Stegostoma tigrinum: one gene and its partner. The protein of the gene in region 1 purifies or fractionates together with the protein of each later gene. This does not show direct contact. Links are inferred from orthologs where the notes say so. Each region holds a gene or a part of one and is shown on either strand. Other genes may lie near its edges.

The links. The genes of interacting proteins can lie anywhere in the genome.
Region 2: the proteins of sec16a (region 1) and protein transport protein Sec23A purify together in Homo sapiens (affinity purification with mass spectrometry; 3 studies listed by BioGRID and IntAct, with this or other methods). This does not show direct contact. The link is inferred for Stegostoma tigrinum from reciprocal best matches to the Homo sapiens genes SEC16A and SEC23B.

What each region holds. Positions count from the first base shown.
Region 1 is NC_081382.1:42,911,103-42,918,412, forward strand, and holds the start of sec16a (protein transport protein Sec16A), read right to left. Parts: upstream 3,359-7,310; 5' UTR 3,257-3,358; intron 3,223-3,256; exon of another isoform or gene 3,153-3,222; intron 1-3,152. UniProt on the Homo sapiens protein: Acts as a molecular scaffold that plays a key role in the organization of the endoplasmic reticulum exit sites (ERES), also known as transitional endoplasmic reticulum (tER).
Region 2 is NC_081362.1:40,470,832-40,478,063, reverse strand, and holds the start of protein transport protein Sec23A, read right to left. Parts: upstream 3,223-7,232; 5' UTR 3,108-3,222; intron 3,102-3,107; exon of another isoform or gene 2,919-3,101; intron 1,557-2,918; 5' UTR 1,506-1,556; coding exon 1,503-1,505; intron 1-1,502. UniProt on the Homo sapiens protein: Component of the coat protein complex II (COPII) which promotes the formation of transport vesicles from the endoplasmic reticulum (ER).

The sequences.
Region 1 (7,310 bases):
AAGTTAATATGAAACAAACTCTCCCAGCGTGAAGACCCTGTGCTGAATTCAAAGAGGGAGCCTCCCACAAAAGTAAACAAGTCAGTAACCCTCGAAAACAATGTTAAAAAAAAATTTGGAAGCCAGTAATGAGTAATTTGAGAGCTGAAGTGAGGTGAACGCCGACTGGAGGGTTTTCCTCAGTTTGTATTCCTTGGCTTTGTCGTCATCTAACTAACTGACATTAGTTACACTTAAAACCAAGATAAATTAATATAGCACAGGAGACTGGTTTTGAAATAAATCTGTTCCAGTCTCAAGTCAAAACATTTTCTCTCAGCTCTACAGGATGGCATCAGGAAACAGAAGAAATCTTAGATATTTCGCCAGTCTGATCCTGACTGAACTCTCATACTGACCCTAATGCTCTGCAAAGATTCCCTCATCAAACTTTAACGAACAATGGTGTCTTCATGCCTCAGGCAGAAAGCTCAGATAACAGGATGCCATTCAGGCCTGAATGCTGGATCTTTGAAAGAGTTATCCAACTAGATCAACTCCACCTCCACAAACTAGATCAACTCCACCTCCACAAACTTCTCTTTTTCAGATATTTATCCAATTCCCTTTCAAAAGTTATTGTTCAACCTGCATCCACTACCTGTTCAAGCACAGCTTTCCGCATAATAAGTAGCTGCTCACCTCCCCTCTGGCCGTTTGGCCAATTCTCTTCAGACTGGATTGCTCTGGTGAGCCACTGAAAACAATCACCTTACCGTGTGTAAGCTAGCTGCTTTGGTTCCTAAAACAGTGACAACACCTCAAAAAGTTCTTTGCTATCCAAAAAGTGCTTTGTGACATCCTGAGTGTTTCAGAAATGTTCATCTTCCTTTCTTTAGATGAACAGTCTACGTGGGACTAGCTGTGAAACAGGCAACGTACTGTCAACAGTTTCATTTCATTAGCATTGGTGCCAGTTGTAGCAATGCTAAAATTAAAAAAGAAACATTTCTGCTTCCAAACAACCCTCTGGAATGAAATGGCACAAGCACTGGGCAAACCTACAGTGACCTGCTCCAACAAAAATTCAATGCAGATTACCAATTTAACATGTGGACAAGCTGCTAGAGGGCAGATGCCACACTTAAATACTGCACTATTCAGTCTCCAGAGCCACAAACTACCGAAACTAACAACTATAAGAAATAGAAGCAGGAGTAAACCATTCAAACAAGCCTGATCCTGCATTCAATACGATAATGGCTGTTCCAGGCCTCAACTCTGCTTTCATATCAGCTCACTGCTTTCATTGCTCTCCAATCTGCAATACATCTAAAATCTACATACCTACTGTTCAAATATTTTGAGCAATTGAGGCTTCACAACTCCCTGCAGCAGAAAATTCCCCAGACATTTACTATATTCAGAGAAGTAAATCGTTTGCATTTCAGTTTGAAATGAATACCCATTATTCTGTACCAAAATCCCTAGTGAGGTTCACTCACTCATAAAAACATCTTCTCAATGTCTATCCTGTCTTGCCCCTCAGAATCTTGTAAGTTTCAATAAGATCATCCCTCATTCTTCTAAACTCTAATGAAGAAAGGTGTAACTTGTTTACACCTTCTTGACAAGTCAGCCTCTTTAAGCCAGGAATGAGCCCAGTAAATCTCATTTGAATTGCTTCCAATTACAGTATATCATCTTATAAATATTGGGACCAAAACTGTGGGTAGTTCTCTAGATGCAGCCTCACTAACATCCTGTATAAGTTGCCCACAAAGAAACAATAGAGGCCCACAAATGGTATTTCTGTGCCAAAAATGCAGTTGGCAGCCACCTTCTTCTACTAACTCATTTTCCTAAGCTCCTCTCCTCCCTGTCTCACAATCGTAAACCCCTCCTTCACCCAAACCTGGTTCACTAATATCCTTTAGGGAAGGAAACTGCCATCCTTTCCTGGTCTGGTCTACATGTGACTCCAAACCCACAGCAATGTGGTTGACTGTCACCTGCCCTCTGGGCAATTACGGGTGGGCAATAAATGCCACCTAGCCAGCAACTTCCTCATTCCATGAATGCATTTTTTAAAAAGTTCTCTGTCCTTTTTTTAAAAAAATCAAATCCAGTATCGTTGGGGTAAGCCGCAACTCCTCTCCTCCTTTGGGTTGACTCCTTCCCAGCCTTTTCCTCTCCACTTTATTCCCACTGCCATCCTTATGCGTCTTCTCACACCACCACCCTCCTCCTGTAGGCTGTCTCTCTCCTCCCTACATTATCTCACCTTCCTTCACAAATATCTTTTTCCACTTGCCTCCCCTCCCTCATCACCTTTTAAGATGTGTTGCGACTGTTCGCCTTCCATCCTCTGGGTATCTCTGCTGTTTCACTCTCCCTGTGCCCTGTATGGTCTGAGCTGGGGTCTGTGGAATATCTGTGTATTTATTTCTCTCATCTGTCATAGCACCGGGCTCAACTTCACCTCTCTGTAAGCTGTTCTCTGGATGTCTCACTCCTTTCCTTTTCACCTCTATGCTGTACACTGAGCTCTGACACACGAGCCCTGTAATTCTCTGTCTCTGCTTCCCACTATCAACACAAACAGAACACCATCAAACTGCCCTCAAAAGGTGTCTGGGTCCTGTCTATTAGGCTCAGTGACATGGTTGCTACCTCTCTTCCGTTGTCTCGCCTTCATTTGTCCAGGTCCTGGCTGCTGTACAGGATGTACACAGGGTCTTATTCTATACTGCTCTGAAGTGAAGTCTTTACACTTTCACCGCCTCCTTTTCCCATCTATCACTGTCTTTCTCCCTTCAATTAAATAACACATACATACTGGTGTGAGACAAAGCCTCTATCCCTCTATCATCTCACCTGCATACGAGCTCCGGTAGTCCTGTGCACTGAACGTATACTATAAGATGTACACACTGGGCCCCACTGCAGTCTCTATCCCGCTTACCTGTACTCTGGGTGCTGTATACAGGGTCCTGTATACACTGCAGGGTGGTGTATACACAATAAAGTGTACACACTGGGCCCCGCTGCAGTCTCTATCCCTCTCACCTGTACTCTGGGTGCTGTATACAGGGTCCTGTACACACTGTAGGGTGGTTTATACACGATAAGATGTACACGCTGGGCCCCGCTGCAGTCTCTATCCCTCTCACCTGTACTCAGGGTGCTGTATACAGGGTCCTGTACACACTGTAGGGTGGTTTATACACAATAAGGTGTACACACTGGGCCCCGCTGCAGTCTCTATCCCTCTCACCTGTACTCAGGGGGCTGTATACAGGGTCCTGTACACGCTGTAGGGTGGTGAATACACGATAAGGTGTACACACTGGGCCCCGCTGCAGTCTCTATCCCTCTCACCTGTACTCAGGGGGCTGTATACAGGGTCCTGTACACGCTGTAGGGTGGTGAATACACAATAAGATGTACACACTGGGCCCCGCTACAGTCTCTATCCCTCTCACCTGTACTCTGGGTGCTGTATATAGGGTCCTGTACACGCTGTAGGGTGGTGAATACACGATAAGATGTACACACTGGGCCCCGCTGCAGTCTCTATCCCTCTCACCTGTACTCAGGGGGCTGTATACAGGGTCCTGTACACGCTGTAGGGTGGTGAATACACGATAAGATGTACACACTGGGCCCCGCTGCAGTCTCTATCCCTCTCACCTGTACTCTGGGTGCTGTATACAGGGTCCTGTACACGCTGTAGGGTGGTGAATACACGATAAGATGTACACACTGGGCCCCGCTGCAGTCTCTATCCCTCTCACCTGTACTCAGGGGGCTGTATACAGGGTGCTGTACACGCTGTAGGGTGGTGAATACACGATAAGGTGTACACACTGGGCCCCGCTGCAGTCTCTATCCCTCTCACCTGTACTCAGGGGGCTGTATACAGGGTCCTGTACACGCTGTAGGGTGGTGAATACACGATAAGGTGTACACACTGGGCCCCGCTGCAGTCTCTAGCACTCTCGCGACGCCATTTTCCCCGGCCGCGGATCGGCGACGTGTACATGTGACGTCACACGCATCCCCGCGCCGTGACGTTACTGACCCACACCGTTATAGGCGGGGCGTCGAGTTGAGCGTGAGGGTCAGCGTCCGCCAGCGCATCATCGTTCACGATTATCGTGTATGAATACAATTCATCAGTATCGTCCATCATTATAGTTATTATTGGAGTAGACTATTATTGTAACAGTCAATCAGGATGGTAAATCATTATTGTCCATTATTATAGTTCATTATTATTGTTATCATAAAACAGTATTGTCCAACAGAGGTAATAAAATGTGAGGCTGGATGAACACAGCAGGCCCAGCAGCATCTCAGGAGCACAAAAGCTGACGTTTCAGGCCTAGACCCTTCATCAGAGAGGGGGATGGGGGGAGGGAACTGGAATAAATAGGGAGAGAGGGGGAGGCGGACCGAAGATGGAGAGTAAAGAAGATAGGTGGAGTGAGTGTAGGTGGGGAGGTAGGGAGGGGATAGGTCAGTCCAGGGAAGACGGACAGGTCAAGGAGGTGGGATGAGGTTAGTAGGTAGCTGGGGGTGCGGCTTGGGGTGGGAGGAAGGGATGGGTGAGAGGAAGAACAGGTTAGGGAGGCAGAGACAGGTTGGACTGGTTTTGGGATGCAGTGGGTGGAGGGGAAGAGCTGGGCTGGTTTAGGGATGCAGTGGGGGGAGGGGACGAACTGGGCTGGTTTTGGGATGCAGTGGTGGAAGGGGAGATTTTGAAGCTGGTGAAGTCCACGTTGATACCATTGGGCTGCAGGGTTCCCAAGTGGAATATGAGTTGCTGTTCCTGCAACCTTCGGGTGGCATCATTGTGGCACTGCAGGAGGCCCATGATGGACATGTCGTCTAAGGAATGGGAGGGGGAGTGGAAATGGTTTGCGACTGGGAGGTGCAGTTGTTTATTGCGAACTGAGCGGAGGTGTTCTGCAAAGCAGCCCCCAAACCTCCGCTTGGTTTCCCCAATGTAGAGGAAGCCACACCGGGTACAGTGGATACAGTATACCGCATTGGCAGATGTGCAGGTGACCATCTGCTTAATGTGGAAAGTCATCTTGGGGCCTGGGATGGGGGTGAGGGAGGAGGTGTGGGGGCAAGTGTAGCTCTTCCTGCGGTTGCAGGGGAAGGTGCCGGGTGTGATGGGGTTGGACGGGAAGTGTGGAGCGGACAAGGGAGACCTCCCACCCACAGCCTCCAACCTCATTGTCCCCCGACGCCGCACTGCCCGTTTCTCTCTCCTTCCCAAAATCCACAAACCCGCCTGCCCTGGCCGACCTATTGTCTCCGCCTGCTCCTGCCCCACTGAACTCATCTCCACCTATCTGGACTCCATTTTCTTCCCCTTGGTCCAGGAACTCCCCACCTACATCCGTGACACCACCCATGCCCTCCACCTCCTCCAGAACTTCCAATTCCCTGGCACCCAACACCTCATTTTCACCATGGACGTCCAGTCCCTATACACCTGCATTCCTCATGCAGATGGCCTGAAGGCCCTCCGCTTCTTCCTGTCCTGCAGGCCCGACCAGTCCCCCTCCACCAACACCCTCATCCGCCTAGCCAAACACGTCCTCACCCTCAACAACTTCTCTTTCAATTCTTCCCACTTCCTACAGACAAAGGGGTTGGCCAAGGGTACCTGCATGGGCCCAAGCTATGCCTGCCTCTTTGTAGGTTACGTGGAACAGTCCCTCTTCCGCACCTACACTGGCCCCAAACACCACCTCTTCCTCCATTACATTGATGACTGTATCGGCACCACCTCTTGCTCCCAAGAGGAGCTCGAACAGTTCATCCACTTCACCAACACCTTCCACCCCAACCTCCAGTTCACCTGGGCCATCTCCAACACATCCCTCACCTTCCTGGACCTCTCTGTCTCCATCTCAGGTAACCAGCTAGAAACTGATGTCCATTTCAAGCCCACCGACTCCCACAGCTACCTAGAATACACCTCCTTCCACCCACACCCCTGCAAAAATTCCATCCCCCATTTCCCAATTCCTTTGCTTCCACCGCAACTGCTCCCAAGATGTGGCATTCCACTCCCGCACATCCCAGATGGCCCCATTCTTCAAGGACCGCAACATCCCCACCGCAGTGGTCGAGTACAAGCTTGACCGTGTCTCCCACATTTCCCGCAACACATCCGTCACACCCTGCCCCCGCAATAACTGCCCTCAGAAAATCCCCCTCGTCCTCTAATACCACCCCAGCAACCTCCGGATACAACGCATCATCCTCCGACACTTCCGCCATCTACAATCCGACCCCACCACCCAAGTCCTTTTTCCATCCCCACCCTTGTCTGCCTTCCGCAGAGACCACTCTCTCCGTGACTCCCTTGTCCACTCCACACTCCCCTCCAACCCCACCACACCCTGCACCTTCCCCTGCAACTGCAGGAAGTGCTACACATGTCCCCACACCTCCTCCCTCACCCCTATCCCAGGCCCCACGATGACTTTCCATATTAAGCAGATGGTCACCTGCACATCCACCAATGTAGTATACTGTATCCACTGTACCCGGTGTGGCTTTCTCTACATTGGGGAAACCAAGCGGAGGCTCAGGGACCGCTTTGCAGAACACCTCTGCTCGGTTCACAATAAACAACTGCATCTCCCAGTCGCAAACCATTTTAACTCCCTGTCCCATTCCTTAGACGACATGTCCATCCTGGGCCTCCTGCAGTGCCACAATGATGCCACCCGAAGGTTGCAGGAACAGCAACTCATATTCCGCTTGGGAACCCTGCAGCCCAATGGTATCAATGTTGACTTCACAAGCTTCAAAATCTCCGCCTCCCCCACTGCATCCCAAAACCAGCCCAGCTCGTCCCTGCCTGCCTAACGTGTTCTTCCTCTAACCTCATCCCCTCCTCCCACCTCAAGCCGCACCTCCATTTCCTACCTACTAACCTCATCCTGCCTCCTTGACCTGTCCGCCCTCCCTGGACTGACCTATCCCCTCCCCACCTATACTCTCCTGTCCACCTATCTTCTCCTCTATTGATCTTTGGTCTCCTCCCCCTCTCTCCCTATTTATTCCAGAACCCTCTCCTCATCCCCCTCTCTGATGAAGGGTCTAGGCCTGAAATGTCAGCTTTTGTGCTCCTGAGATGCTGCTGGGCCTGCTGTGTTCATCCAGCTTCACACTTTGTTATCTTGGATTCTCCAGCATCTGCAGTTCCCATTATCTCTTGTCCATCAGAGATAATGGGAACTGCAGATGCTGGAGAATCCGAGATAACAAGGTGTAGAGCTGGATGAACACAGCAGGCCAAG
Region 2 (7,232 bases), on another chromosome or scaffold:
TTCCACTATTAATACCCCAGTCTCTCTCCCTGTATAGAGGACCAATGTTCCCTTTACTTCTTATTGCTTTTTAAATACCTGAAGAAACTCTTAATATCTGTTTTTATAATTCTAGCTAGCTTGCTATTATATTCTAATTTCTCCTCTTATTTCTTTTTAGTAATTCTTTAACACTGTTCATAATCTTCAGACACTTCTGGCCTGCTACTTATCTTTTTATTTCAATGTAATATTTTCAACTTTCTTTGTTGGCACTAATGGTACACCCTTCTCTTACAGTCTTTATTTCTCACTGGGGAACCATTGTAGAATCCTTTAAATTGACAAACAACCATTCACTGTTTTCTGTAATTGCCAATTTTGATTGTGACACCATCTCCTCTAACTATTCCAAATTTTACTAACAAGTGGTATATGCGATATTTTGCTAAACGCTTGAAAAATCAATATTCACATTAAGTATTGTACCCTCACCAATTTAAACATGCATATAGATGAGTCATATGGGGCTCCTGTGTCTCTACCTCTGAACAAAGATATTGGAGTTCAAATCCCATCTGACCCAGAGGTGTACAATAACATCTGTGAACAGGCTGATTGGAAAATATCTATAAATGAAATGAATTGTGGACAACTAGGGTGTGATCCAATATAACCAACAGTACACCTTGCTTATAGCAGATAGCTAACTAAAGTACTGAGGTGAATCAGATTGTCTTGAGTCATGAACGCTTTTGAAATGTTCTGTGTGGCCTATGGGATTAGTGTTAGTAAACCAGCAAAAAAACTGAAAGCCAACAAATAAAATATAGATCCTTACCTATGTACGTGTTATAGCTGCAACACTTAGTTACTGCATCAGAAAACCGAAGTAATTCCATCAACAATGCCTCAGAAGAGTCATGAAAATTCAATGGCAGCACAAAACATCAGAAACTTATGAAAAAAGTAAACACGCAAAGCACAGAGAGGTTCATAGTACAAAGTTTAACCAATGTGGGATGGCCACATAACAGAAGACCTACTTGGGTAGTCCAGTAATCAATGTCAAACAAAAGCTTGATCCTCTTATAGTGGTTTGTTCAAAAGATACATTCATGTTCTAAAGAATATGAGCAGGCAACTTAGTTCCTTCAACCTGCTCCAACATTCAAGATGATAATTGCTGTTGGTAGTTTAACTCCACTTTACTGTCAGTCCCCATAATCCTGGATTTACTTGTAAATCAAAATCTGTCCTCAAATTAATTATGTTCTGCAGAGCTAGCCCCCATGTTCTCAGAGTACTGAATTCCGAAAATTGATCATACCCAGAAGAAATATCTGTCTTAATCAGGAGGGTACTTATTTTAGGTATGTTCTAGATTTGCTCATGAAGTGAAACATCACCCAATATCTACATTCTTAAGACATCCTCTGAATCTTTTGTTTTAACAAGATCACCTCTCATTTTTCTCAACTCCAAAGACTGTACACCCAACTGAAGACAAAATCCATTCATACCATGAATCAGCCTAGTGAATCTTTTGTATGGCTTCCAATTCAAGGATCTCTCTCCTGAAATAAAGACAGAAAAAAAAACTGTGGATGGTATTGTCTCACCAACGCCACATGTAAATGTGACAAAATTTCCCGACTTTTATGTTCCACTCCCTTGCCACAAAGGCCAACAGTCCATTTACCTTCCTCACCTACTTGCTGTACATGCATGCTAATGTCTTGTAAACTGTTTTGAAGAAACAGATCAGACTGTAAATGTGAACCCCATTTCTCTCTCCACAAATGCTGCCAGTTTCTCCAGCATTTTCTCTTTTTATTTCAGACTTTTGGTAACTGCAGTACTTTCCTTTCATTATTATGAGTTCTGTGCCACTTATTGAATGATCTTTGCAAATATTACAATACACTACATCTTCAGATTCCTTTCTATCTACCTGCGTATTAAGTTTGTTAAAGAATTCTAATTCTTTTCAAACAATTTATTTTTCCTGAATCCATGTTGATTCAACTTGATTGTATTTTAGTTTTCTAAACTTCTTGCTGTGAATTCTTTAATGATGAATTTTGGCATTTTTCCAGTGATAGACATAAGGATAACTGTTCTATAGTTTCTTGCTTTGTGCTTTCCTCTTGAATACAGATGCTACGTTTGCAGGAAATTTTGCAAGATTACAACTTACACATACACTTATTTTAAGATCACAGAATTCAGCCAGCAGATTTAGGGGACTTGTTGGCTAAGTTAAGAATGAAATTTTCTATGTTGAACACCTCTGTGAATGACCCTGAAATATTTTACAAAGTTTATGGGTGCATTTAAATGGATGTTGTTAATTGTTGTCTCTCAACTGTAATTTAACTGCAGTTTATACAGTTGCAGTTATACATCGTTATACAGTCACAAGTGTGAGAAACAAATTTTAAGACAGTTAATTTTGTATGGAGAAGAAGCTGAGAAAGAAGACAAGCTCACATTCAAAATCCATTAGCAGTCTGTTACAATCCTAAGGATGTCAAAATCATAAATAACCAAGCAAGGACTAGGGGGGGTATAGGTTTAAAGCGAGAGAAGAAAGATTTAAAAGGGACCTGAAGGGCAACTTTTTCATGCAGAGAATGGTGTGTGTATGGAATGAACTGCCACAAGAAGTGGTGGCTAGTACAATTGCAATATTAAAAAGACATCAGGATGGCTACATGAATAGGAAGGGATTAGATGGATATGCGCCAAATGCTGGCAAGTGGGACTAGATAAATTTAGAGTATCTAATCGACATGGACGAATCGAGCCCAAAGGTCTGTATCCGTGTTGTACAACTCTACGACTCTTAGAAACCCGACCTTCTGCCAAAGATCAATTCCAATGAAACCCGTTTTCTCACCATCACTCACAGTTCTAGCAATTCCCCCAGTATATACCTGCCGATTAAGACAGTGTCAACGAACCCAAACCAATGACACCTATTACCAGCAGCAGCACCACCATCCCTCACAGTTATACATCAGCCTGAGTATGACTGCGGCCAGTGACTTGCAGAGCGTTAATCAGCAGAACACCGGGACTGATGTCCAGTGACACTGCGTGCTAAACGATCACAAGGAGATCACCTAGTCCGCGAAAAGCCCCGAAAGTGAGCGACTCCTTCACTCGATAATCCCGATCCTGACAACACGTCCTCCTCCACCCAGTTCCTGCTCCGCGGCCTTACGTCATTTCCTTTCTTGACGTCTACGACAGGAAGTACAGCTCAGCATGCGCCTGGTTTAACACGTCACCACGGGTCTAGGAAGGGGCAAGATCGAGATCACGTGAATTTCAGTGACTGTATCCATTTTGGAGAGTGAAGCTGTTTATTTCGATCGTCTTATGTTGTTTAAGGTGCTGATGGGAATAAAGGTGATAAAACGGGATAAGAAGTTTTCGAAGTAGGCCACACCCGTCTGTGTTTGAAACAAAAACAGAAATTGCTGGAAGAGCTCAGCAGGTCTGGCAGCATCTGTGGAGAGAAAGTAGGGATAATGTTTTGGGTCGACTGGCCCTTTGGCTGCCCCATAACATGCAATGATCAAACGTAAGCTGCTAGATTCGGGTCAATATCCAAATTTCCAAGTGAAACCTGTGTGGCATTGTATCACTTGCAGTCACTACCAGGAGACCGCTATATAGACTAAAGCTCGCGTAGAATAATCATGTTGGGAAGCAAGTGTCTGGCATTCTGGCTTCATGATCACCTCAACTCAGTTGTGACAATGTTAATATGGTGATGATGTTTGGCATGCTACCTCAGAATCTCACTTGTTCCTGCTACCTGATCTACAGAGGCTTCTGGGGACAGTTCAAGTGTTTGCATAGAAACAGTAGGGTTTGTTTGTAATAGAAATTAATCTTCATAACAAAATTATCACCTGAACATCAAAAACCTGGGAACTATTGATGAAACTAAAAGGAACGGCCACGTAAATGGTCAGAAGATTGATGAGGGGTGGGAAAGGGGTGGTGGCACTGAAATAAAATTCTGGAAATTCTCAGCAGCTCAGGCATCTGTGGAGAGAAAATGGAGTTTCAGAACAGAAACTGGCTGTCCTGCATCAAGTGACACACTTCAGCTTTTCTCAAAGCATCACCAACAGAAGTCATGAGGATGATGAAATATTCTCTACTGTCTGGATGGTGCAACTGCAGTCACACTCAAATAACTCAACAGAGCAGTCTGATTGGCAATCTACACATATTTAAGCCTCTACTAACTTCACCAGCAGTACATTATTACTTCAGTATTTACTACCCAAAGAATACACTGCGACAAGTCACCACAGCTTCTTTGCCAGCATTTTCAAAATTCAGTTTCCATCATTGGAAAGGACAAAGTGTGCAGGAGCGTTATCATGTTGAGTTTTGCTCCCAGATTCAACATCCTTAATGGGTGGCATGGTGGCTCAGTGGTTAGTACTGCTGCCTCACAATGCCAGGGATGCTAGTTCAATTCCATCCTTAGGCAGCTCTCTGTGTGGATTTCCTCCGAGTGCACCAGTTTCTTCCTGCAGTTCAAAGATGTGCAGGCGAGGTGTATTGGCCATGCTAAATTGCCTGTAATGTTCAGGGATGTTTAGATTAGTTGGGTGAGAGGGGGTTGGATCTGGGTGGGATGCTCTGAGGGTTGTTGGTCCAAAGGGCCTGTTTCTACACTGTAGAGGTTCTATGAAATAATATTCCTCATTAGCATTTTCAAAATCTTGGAAATCCACACCCAACTGTAGTTTATGAATACTTGTACCATTTCATGCAATGGCATAAATAATGGCTCGTTCTGAAAAGCAACTGAGGTAGATAATAACTATCAACTTTTTTAACATTGCTAATAAAAGTTTTAGAATAAATATGAGAAGTTTCCTTACCCCAACAATCATATTTAGTCTCATCTATTTGGTATCGTGACCCCTAACATTTTGCCTATTCATTAACATTCTCAGGTGACTGTCTTTCCCACCAACCACTTGTTGCATCACTACCCATCTCTTCATTGCTGAGATACCCATTCAATTCTATGTTCTCTCTCCTGTCAGCTGTAGTCACCTTCAAACTTATCTTTTTCTCCCTGCTGAAGTTTCTTAGAAGGGGGTCAGCAGCTCTATCATTAGGATTCTTTCATACATTCCCTACTTCTGAAATTACAACAATGATTACAAAATTATTTAAATTTATTGTAAAATGTTTAGTGATAGTCTAGGGGTGTGAAAGACTATCAAAATGAAAGTTTTCCTTTTTAATTGTACCCCTTACCTTCCCTTACTTTTCATTATCCTTCAAAGATGTCTTGTTTGCTCTCAACATTAAACATCTTTAGACCAGATTAGAGTGAGGGGTAAGAAATCTTGTTTGCTTCTTTTTCTGTTTCAGAGTTCTTTCCATATATTTGCTGGATTCCAGGTAGGATTTCCCTAGATTCTAGAAAGCTCACAACAATTTCAAAAGCAGCAAGTGTGACAGCAGTGTGCAAGAAAGGAGGGAGGTGGAAAACTGCAAACAGTAGGCCAATTAGACTCAAACCTGGAGTTCTAGCTTTGAAGCAGGGATCTTACCTGCTGTACCACAAGACAAAGAGCTATATCCAATTGCTGCTCATTCCACACTCCCATTACTATAATGGAAAGGAAAATTGGATGGTGTGCATAATAGATGAACAATACAATATCCCTCATTTTACATAGCCAAAAGTTAGTATTACCTCAGTTAGATTGAACACAGATCCAGTTTTTCTAAAGGTAAAAGAGAATGCTAAAATGTAAATATGGAGCATTTACTCAGGAAATTCAAATTTCCAATGGGAAGAATTACATTGAGACATTTCTGATGGGGTCTCACAATGAACATTCAGCCTTATACATACTCAGATATTTACCCACCTTTCTATTAATTTCAGGTATAATTTGGTGATTGATGGAAGGAACTGTTTAGGGGAGGCCTAAAAAAATCCTGTGGTCCCCAAATCCACTGAAAATGCTCACCCATGCTGTGCCTCCCACAACAATGCTCAATCTACTGCACCCCTGACAAGTCACAGGATCCCTGTCCCTCTCACTGCTCACACCAATGCACTACTTTCTGCTCCACATCTAGCAATACTCGGATCCCATTCCATTAACATTCAAACACACCAGCATTTTCTATACCCAACAATGCACGCAATTTTACACAACTGACAATGTTTATTCCTGAATCCCTGACAAAACCAACTGCAAGCAAATGTTAAGCAACCAAACAGCTTGGCAAAAAGCAAACCTAGCCTGCAAGCTTGCCATAGACAATTATGAAAAAGATGAATTGCTGCATAGTGGTGATTCTTCAATTTGGCAAGGGTAAGTTGTATGTTTTTTTAAAAGTCCATATTATTTTGTCTTACAACACTGTGCATGATTCATCTTCAGAGATTTTTGCAGAAATTTGTTAAAGGAATTATCAATCAGTATCATGTTATTTTGATTTGGGCTGGCACGGTGGCTCAGTGGTTAGCACTGTTGCCTCACAGCACCAGGGACCAGGGTTCAATTCCAACCTCAGGTGACTCTCTGTGTGGAGTTTGCACATTCTTCTCGCGTATGCATGGGTTTCCTCTGGGTGCTCCAGTTTCCTCCCACAGTCCTACTATACTACAGTGACCAGGGATGTACAGACTAGGTGGATTAGCCATGGGAAATGTAGGGTTATGGGGATGTGGTGGGTTTGGGTGGGATGATGTTTGGAGGGCCAGTGTGGACTTGATGGGCTGAATGGCCTGCTTCCACACTGTAGAGATTCTAAGATTCTACTCTACCTGACATTGCTCACACCTCCTCATCAGTTACCCAGCACAACTCCCACACCCCTTAACAAAGTTCACCACTACTGCACCCTATAATGTTCACACCCCTTATCTACCCTCCTAACAAAGGCACACCCCAATCCCAACAGTCCCCAGTTGCCTGCACTTCCACCAATGATCATACACATGATATGGTTCATCCTGCTCAGCGGCCTTTGCAATATTACTACCACACTCTGGCAATGGCCCACTCCCATTACTGACAATGCTCAAACGCTCAACAGTGCTTACCCCCGGCAATGTTCAATCCCACCACAAATACTTAGCAATTATACTTCGTAAATATCAGGAAGAGTTTGAGCTAACACAGTCTTCGTCAAGAACAATTAGAGATGTTCAATAAATACTGCACTTGCTAGCAACACATCTTGTG